Macaca fascicularis: one gene and its partner. The protein of the gene in region 2 purifies or fractionates together with the protein of the main gene of each other region. This does not show direct contact. Links are inferred from orthologs where the notes say so. Each region holds a gene or a part of one and is shown on either strand. Other genes may lie near its edges.

Region 1 (4,251 bases), on a different chromosome or scaffold from region 2:
ATTGTAGCGATTATATTTATGGTTATTTCTTCAATCCCACCCGGCATAGGGTAAGCACCAGACTTGAGGCGGTGAGTCCTGGGGAGGCTTTGAGAAGGAAAAGGGCTTTGCCAACGGTTTGGTTGTCTGAGGGATGGGCTTGGGGACCATCCAGCCCCCGGGACTTCAGGGAAACTCCGGCTCCCAAACCAGCTGCTGTGTGCGTGGTCGGGGTCTCCCACACAGCTAGAAGGGGGCACAGCTGGGGACTCAGCTATATCTTCCAGCCGTCTTTGGGACATTTTCTTCCTTAGGATCCGGTGTGTCTTGCCCTGAATGTGAGGCCCTGCAGGGTCTGAATGTCTCAATTATTCCCCCAACACTCCAACCTCCATCTGGGCCTTTTTTCCAGGCTATTCTCTCTGCCTTCACTGCTGGGGCCACTGTCCTGTGTAGGCACCAAGGCCTGACCATGCCACCCGGAAGCCCCAACCTGGGACAACTCTCCCCCCACCTGCCTCTGAGCCCTCCATGGTGACTCTTGTTCCCCAAACCTTATCCTTCTCCCCATTACACAGAAGGGAAAGCTAAGGCTCCGTCACTCAAATCCAAAGCCAGACGGACTCCAAGCCGTCCCACCCCTATCCCAGACAGCACAGGCCCCCGCTTTCCCCCATGGGTGCCCCTTGAAGGCCAGGTTGCCCCCCACCCTCCACAAGCCTTAGATGGTGAAAAGAAGGAAGGCCAGTTCTCTTCACCCCAAGTCGGAAGTGGGACTGGAGGGGGGGCACCCTAGAGAAATGACATGCCGCTCCCCTGTGCCAGCTTCTGCTTTCTGGCATGGCTGTGGTCAAGCCTGAGTCAGTCCCACGGGACCACGGAGCCGGGTCTGGAGCATCGGGGTCGGGAGCTTGAGGGGGAAGGATCAAGGGGCAGGACGTGGGGGTTGGGCGTGAGGGAGGTCACGGGCCAGGCTGGAGGGAGGGAACCTGGCCACACAGGGCTTGCCCACTCTCAGGGGGCTGAACATTTGTTACTCCCCCAACACCCCAGCCTCCATCCCATCCCCAGCCTCCATCCGACGTCACCCCGTTAGATCACAGGCCCACTCTGAGAGTGGGTCCCAGGCCTCAAGTCCCCTAGCCGCCCCCAGAAAGTCTAGGAGTGCATGGACACACCACCATTCCTCTCAGCCTCTTTGTATCTATCTCAAAGGCCCCACCTCACCTCCCCTAAAGGTCCTCTTGCGCCAGGGCTCACATGCCTAGGCAGGGCTGATTGCCAAGGGGCCCAGTGACCTCGTGACTGGGGACCCAGCACCTGGCAGGGGTGGGGGTGGGACACCCAGAGGGAGGAGTGGAGGAGGGAGGGACGCTGGCTCGGGGCCCAGGGGCGTGGGCACCGGGAGGCAGGCCCGGGTTAGGGGCGGGACCACCCCCTGGTTAAAGGCGCTCATTTCCCAGGCAGCCGCCCCAGCCGCCACACTTTTGCCCCGCAGCGATGTCCCTGTCGCCACTTCTGCTGTTCCTGCCACCGCTGCTGCTGCTGCTGGACGACCCCACGGCAGCGGTGCAGGCGTCCCCTCTGCAAACGTTAGACATCTTTGGGAATGGGCCGCCAGTTAACTACAAGGTAGGGACGGCGACAGGGCGGGCAGACTGGAGGGGACAGGCGCCCTGTCGGGGCAGGCGGCTCCTTCTTTCTCCCCAGACTTCACAGGGGAAGACCAGGGCCCCGACTGGAAAAACCCCGTTCATTTCCCGGCACTGCGGCCAGAGTCCCTCCGTGCCGTTTCGCTTTCGCATCCCGCATCTGAGACGCGCAGTTGCTTCCACCGCCTCGTCCCGCCCAAGGGTTCATTGAGCGCCTATTGTGTACTTTTGGGGCAGGAGCTGGGGTCTCCTTTTATGGTCCAGGGCACAAGTTCAGCAGCTGGCCGAGGGCCACCGGCATGCGTTCTTGCTGCTACCCCTGGTGCATTCATTCCAGCCAGGGCAGGGCTTGCGTGTCTCTGGGACCTATTAGGCAAATGCCCTAGAAGCTGAGCGACTTGCTCAGGGATCCAGCGACACGGGCCGCCCGCCACCCCTCAGCTGAAGCCGGAAGTCAGCACCTATTAGGTGCCGCCTCTGTTTGGTCGGACTTGGAAAGGGTTCACGTGGGTTCCTTGCTCAGCTCAGAGTCAAAGTCTCCTGGTGGAGTGGCAAGAAATGGGCATGGGCCAAGGCCGGAGGCGATGGCTCACACCTGTAATCCCAGCACTTTGGGAGGCCGAGGCGGGCGGATCACGAGGTCAGGGGATCGAGACCATCCTGGCTAGGCTAATACGGTGAAACCCCGTCTCTACTAAAAATACAAAAAAATTAACCGGGTGTAGTGGCCGGCGCCTGTAGTCCCAGCTACTCGGGACTGTAGTCCCAGCTACTTGGGAGGCTGAGGCAGGACAATGGCGTGAACCCGGGAGGCGGAGCTTGCAGTGAGCCAAGATGGTGCCAGTGCACTCCAGCCTGGGCGACAGAGAGAGACGCTGTCTCAAAAAAAAAAAAAAAAAAAAGTCTCAAAGTCAAGATTCCACCTGGCAAGTTCTGGAAGGTGTGCAAGATGAATTGCCTATGACAGCCCCCTTTCTACAAGAATACCAAGTGGGGTTCAGAGAAGTGGGGAACTGCCCAGGGCTACATCTGCCTCACACCCCTTCCTAATCCACAGATGGGCAATCTATACCTGCGGGGGCCTGTCAAGAAGTCCAACGCACCGCTTGTCAACGTGACCCTCTACTATGAAGCACTGTGCGGTGGCTGCCGCGCCTTCCTGGTCCGAGAGCTTTTCCCAACGTGGCTGATGGTCATGGAGATCCTCAATGTCACGCTGGTGCCCTACGGAAATGCACAGGTGCATGGGCGCTGGGGAAACTGAGGCACGTGGGCAGGGGAGCAGGGGACCCAGCCTGCCAGCCAGCTCTCACCCTGCTGCCTTGTAGGAACAAAATGTCAGCGGCAGATGGGAGTTCAAGTGCCAGCATGGAGAAGAGGAGTGCAAACTCAACAAGGTGGAGGTGAGCATCCCCAGGGCCCCACACCGGGGTGGGGGAAAACCGTCCGATGTACAGGAGGTAAATATGAGGATACCAGCTTTGTCTTCTGCCTCGTGTGCTCCCATTTAATCACATCTTTATTCCCTATCTCCTGGGTGGGTACTGGTGATTATTACGAGAGGGTGTCAGGGTACCCTGGGCCCTCTTCATGCCCTCTCCTGTCCCCTCTCCAAACCCCAGGCCTGCCTGTTGGATATGCTTGACATGGATCTAGCCTTCCTGACCATTGTCTGCATGGAAGAGTTTGACGACATGGAGAAAAGTCTGCCACTAGTGAGTGACGCCCCTCACTCCCCACGAGGAGGGGGACAAGGGTGGTAACCTTCCCTACACCCAGGCAGACTCAAATTCAAGTCTTAGCCTTGACCACTGCTGTCTGTGCAGCCCAAGAAAACAACTACCCTTCTTTATTTTATTTATTTATTTATTTTTTTCTTGAGACGGAGTCTCGCTCTGTCACCCAGGCTGCAGTGCAGTGGCACAATCCCGGTTCACTGCAACCTCCACCTCCCGGGTTCAAGTGATTCTCCTGCCTCAGCCTCCTGAGTAGCTGGGATTACAGTTCTGTGCCACCATACCAGGCTAATTTTTGTATTTTTAGTAGAGACAGGGTTTTACCATGTTGGTTAGGCTTGTCTTGAACTCTTGACCTCGTGATCCGCCCGCCTAGGCCTCCCAAAGTGCTGGGATTACAGGCATGAGCTACTGGCTCTGTGCCCGGCCGTTTTTTTTTTTTTTTTTTTAAACAGGGTCTTGCTTTGTCACCCAGGCTGGAGTGCAGTGGTGCGATCTTGGCTGACTGCAACCACTGTCTCCTCGGTTTAAGTGATCCTCCCACCTCAGCTTCCCTAGTAGCTGGGACTACAGGCGCGCACCACCATGCCCGGCTGATTTTTGTATTTTTAGTAGAGACAGCGTTCACCATGTTGGCCAGGCTGGTCTCAAACTCCTGACCTCAAGTAATCCTCCTGTCCCAGCCTCCCAAAGGATTACAGGTGTGAGCCACCACGCCTGGCCCCAGCCTCCCCTCTTGAAACTTCCATCTCTGAATCAGGGGAATGAATGCAGGTCTCTTAGGAGCATGAGTGATCACGGAGGACTTACTGGAGGAGGCATTTCTGAGCTGGTCATGGAAGGATGAGCAGGAATGTGCAGAGACACAGATGATAGGATGTGGA
Region 2 (2,743 bases):
CCTGCACCGCTCCTGGGCCGATGAGGAGGACGAGGTGATGGTATATGGCGGCGTGCGCATCGTGCCAGTGGAGCACCTCACCCCCTTCCCATGTGGCATCTTTCACAAGGTCCAGGTGAACCTGTGCCGGTGGATCCACCAGCAAAGCACGGAGGGCGATGCGGACATCCGCCTGTGGGTGAATGGCTGCAAGCTGGCTAACCGTGGGGCCGAGCTGCTGGTGCTGCTGGTCAACCACGGCCAGGGCATTGAGGTCCAGGTCCGCGGCCTGGAGACAGAAAAGATCAAGTGCTGCCTGCTGCTGGACTCGGTGTGCAGCACCATTGAGAACGTCATGGCCACCACGCTGCCGGGACTCCTGACTGTGAAGCATTACCTGAGCCCCCAGCAGCTGCGGGAGCACCACGAGCCTGTCATGATCTACCAGCCACGGGACTTCTTCCGGGCACAGACTCTGAAGGAAACCTCACTGACCAACACCATGGGGGGATACAAGGAAAGCTTCAGCAGCATCATGTGCTTCGGGTGTCACGATGTCTACTCGCAGGCCAGCCTTGGCATGGACATCCACGCGTCAGACCTGAACCTCCTCACTCGGAGGAAACTGAGTCGCCTGCTGGACCCGCCTGACCCCCTGGGGAAGGACTGGTGCCTTCTCGCCATGAACTTGGGCCTCCCTGACCTCGTGGCAAAGTACAACACCAATAACGGGGCGCCCAAGGATTTCCTCCCCAGCCCCCTCCACGCCCTGCTGCGGGAGTGGACCTCCTACCCTGAGAGCACGGTGGGCACCCTCATGTCCAAACTGAGGGAGCTGGGTCGCCGGGATGCTGCAGACTTTTTGCTGAAGGCGTCTTCTGTGTTCAAAATCAACCTGGATGGCAATGGCCAGGAGGCCTATGCCTCGAGCTGCAACAGCGGCACCTCTTACAATTCCATTAGCTCTGTTGTGTCCCGGTGAGGACAGCCTCTGGCTTGGGCAGGGTCTGTTTGGACTGCAGAAGCAAGGGGGTGGTGTAGCCCATCCTTTCCTTTGGAGATGCTGAGGGTGTTTCTTCCTGTGCCCATAGCCAGGGGGATGCCACTCCTCCCTCCGGCTTGACCAGAGAAAGCCTGTTTCTCTGCCGCTACCTCCCTCCCCCTCTCATTCCATTGTCTGTGGATGGTCATTGTAGTTTCAGAGCAGAGCAAATCTTTTACTTTGGCCACTCAAAAAGCTAGTGTACCTCCTCTCAGTGTTTCGGACTCCATCTCTCATCCTCCAGTACCTTGCTTCTTACTGATAATTTTGCTGGAATTCCTAACTTTTCAGTGACTTTTTTTAAACTACTATATTGATTGTCCTTTAAAAAAGAAAAGTGCATATTTATCCCAAATGTGTATTTCTTATACGCTTTTCTTTGTTATACCATTTCCTCAGCTTATCTCTTTTATATTTGTAGGAGAAACTCCCATGTATGGAATCCCACTGTATGACTTACAAACAGACAATATGTGAGTGCCTTTTGCAGAAGAGGGTGTGTTTGAAATCATCAGAGTCAGCCAGGAGCTGTCACCAAGGAAACGCTACCTCTCTGTCCCTTGCTGTATGCTAATCATCGCCAGAGGTGCTTCACCCTGAGTTTTGTTTTGTGTTTGTTTTCTGACAGTTTCTGTGTTTTGTTTGGCAAGGAAAGGGGAGAAAGGAATCCTCCTCCAGGGTGATTTCATGATCAGTGTTGTTGCTCTCGGAAGACATTTTTCAGTTTGCTTTTGTTCCAATGTCAATGTGAATGTCCACATGAAACCTACAAACTGTCACGCTTCCTCATTCCCTCTCATCTCAGGTAGAAGGTTGACACGGTTGTAGGGTTACAGAGACCTATGTAAGAATTCAGAAGACCCCTGACTCATCATTTGTGGGTGGCAGTCCCTTGTAATTGGTGCATAGCAGATGGTTTCCACATTTAGATCCTGGTTTGATAACTTCCTGTACTTGAAGTCTAAAAGCAGAAAATAAAGGAAGCAAGTTTTCTTCCATGATTTTAAATTGTGATCGAGTTTTAAATTGATATGAGGGAACATGTCCTAATTCTTCTGTCCTGAGAAGCATGTAATGTTAATGTTATATCATATGTATATATATATATGCACTATGTATATACATATATATTAATACTGGTATTTTTACTTAATCTATAAAATGTCGTTAAAAAGTTGTTTGTTTTTTCTTTTTTTATAAATAAACTGTTGCTCGTTGCATTCGTTTTGTTGATCTTTAATTCAAAAGGATTTCTTTTTATTTGTTGTGTTTTTACTGTTGTCATCCCACATAGCAGGACAACCCAGGCCAAAACCTACAAAATCATTACACCCAAACTCTCAGGGTTTTTTAGATGCTGATTATTACTAAAATTAGGAATGGTGTGGGAAAGTGAAAAGAGCCCAGATAATTTTCACATTTCTTCCCATTGTAAATAAAACAGGCCCCTTAGATTTTTCTTGGGTGAACCAAAAAACCAAATTGACTCTGTTCGTTTTGGCAATGGGGAACAGAGGAAGCTCTGCTACTTCTACACAAAAATGAAGGGGATGACACCAGGAGGAAGAGAAAACCTACAGCAAAAAGACCTTCACGCCTTTCTTACATTTTCAGTTCATTTTTGTTTCAAGCAAGTTGTCCACGATAAACATGATTAATGTTTATAACGAGAAAAGAAGTTCTGATGAATAAAATTAAAACTAGACATAGCTGTGTCTACAA

Evidence for each region. The genes of interacting proteins can lie anywhere in the genome.
Region 1: the proteins of DAPK1 (region 2) and IFI30 purify together in Homo sapiens (affinity purification with mass spectrometry; 3 studies listed by BioGRID and IntAct, counting the BioPlex papers as one, with this or other methods). This does not show direct contact. The link is inferred for Macaca fascicularis from reciprocal best matches to the Homo sapiens genes DAPK1 and IFI30.

Annotation. Positions count from the first base shown.
Region 1 is NC_088393.1:18,526,335-18,530,585, forward strand, and holds the start of IFI30 (gamma-interferon-inducible lysosomal thiol reductase), read left to right. Parts: upstream 1-1,450; 5' UTR 1,451-1,479; coding exon 1,480-1,611; intron 1,612-2,688; coding exon 2,689-2,871; intron 2,872-2,959; coding exon 2,960-3,034; intron 3,035-3,253; coding exon 3,254-3,346; intron 3,347-4,251. UniProt on the Homo sapiens protein: Lysosomal thiol reductase that can reduce protein disulfide bonds. May facilitate the complete unfolding of proteins destined for lysosomal degradation. Plays an important role in antigen processing.
Region 2 is NC_088389.1:118,134,632-118,137,374, forward strand, and holds the end of DAPK1 (death-associated protein kinase 1), read left to right. Parts: coding exon 1-957; intron 958-1,442; coding exon 1,443-1,476; 3' UTR 1,477-2,241; downstream 2,242-2,743. UniProt on the Homo sapiens protein: Calcium/calmodulin-dependent serine/threonine kinase involved in multiple cellular signaling pathways that trigger cell survival, apoptosis, and autophagy.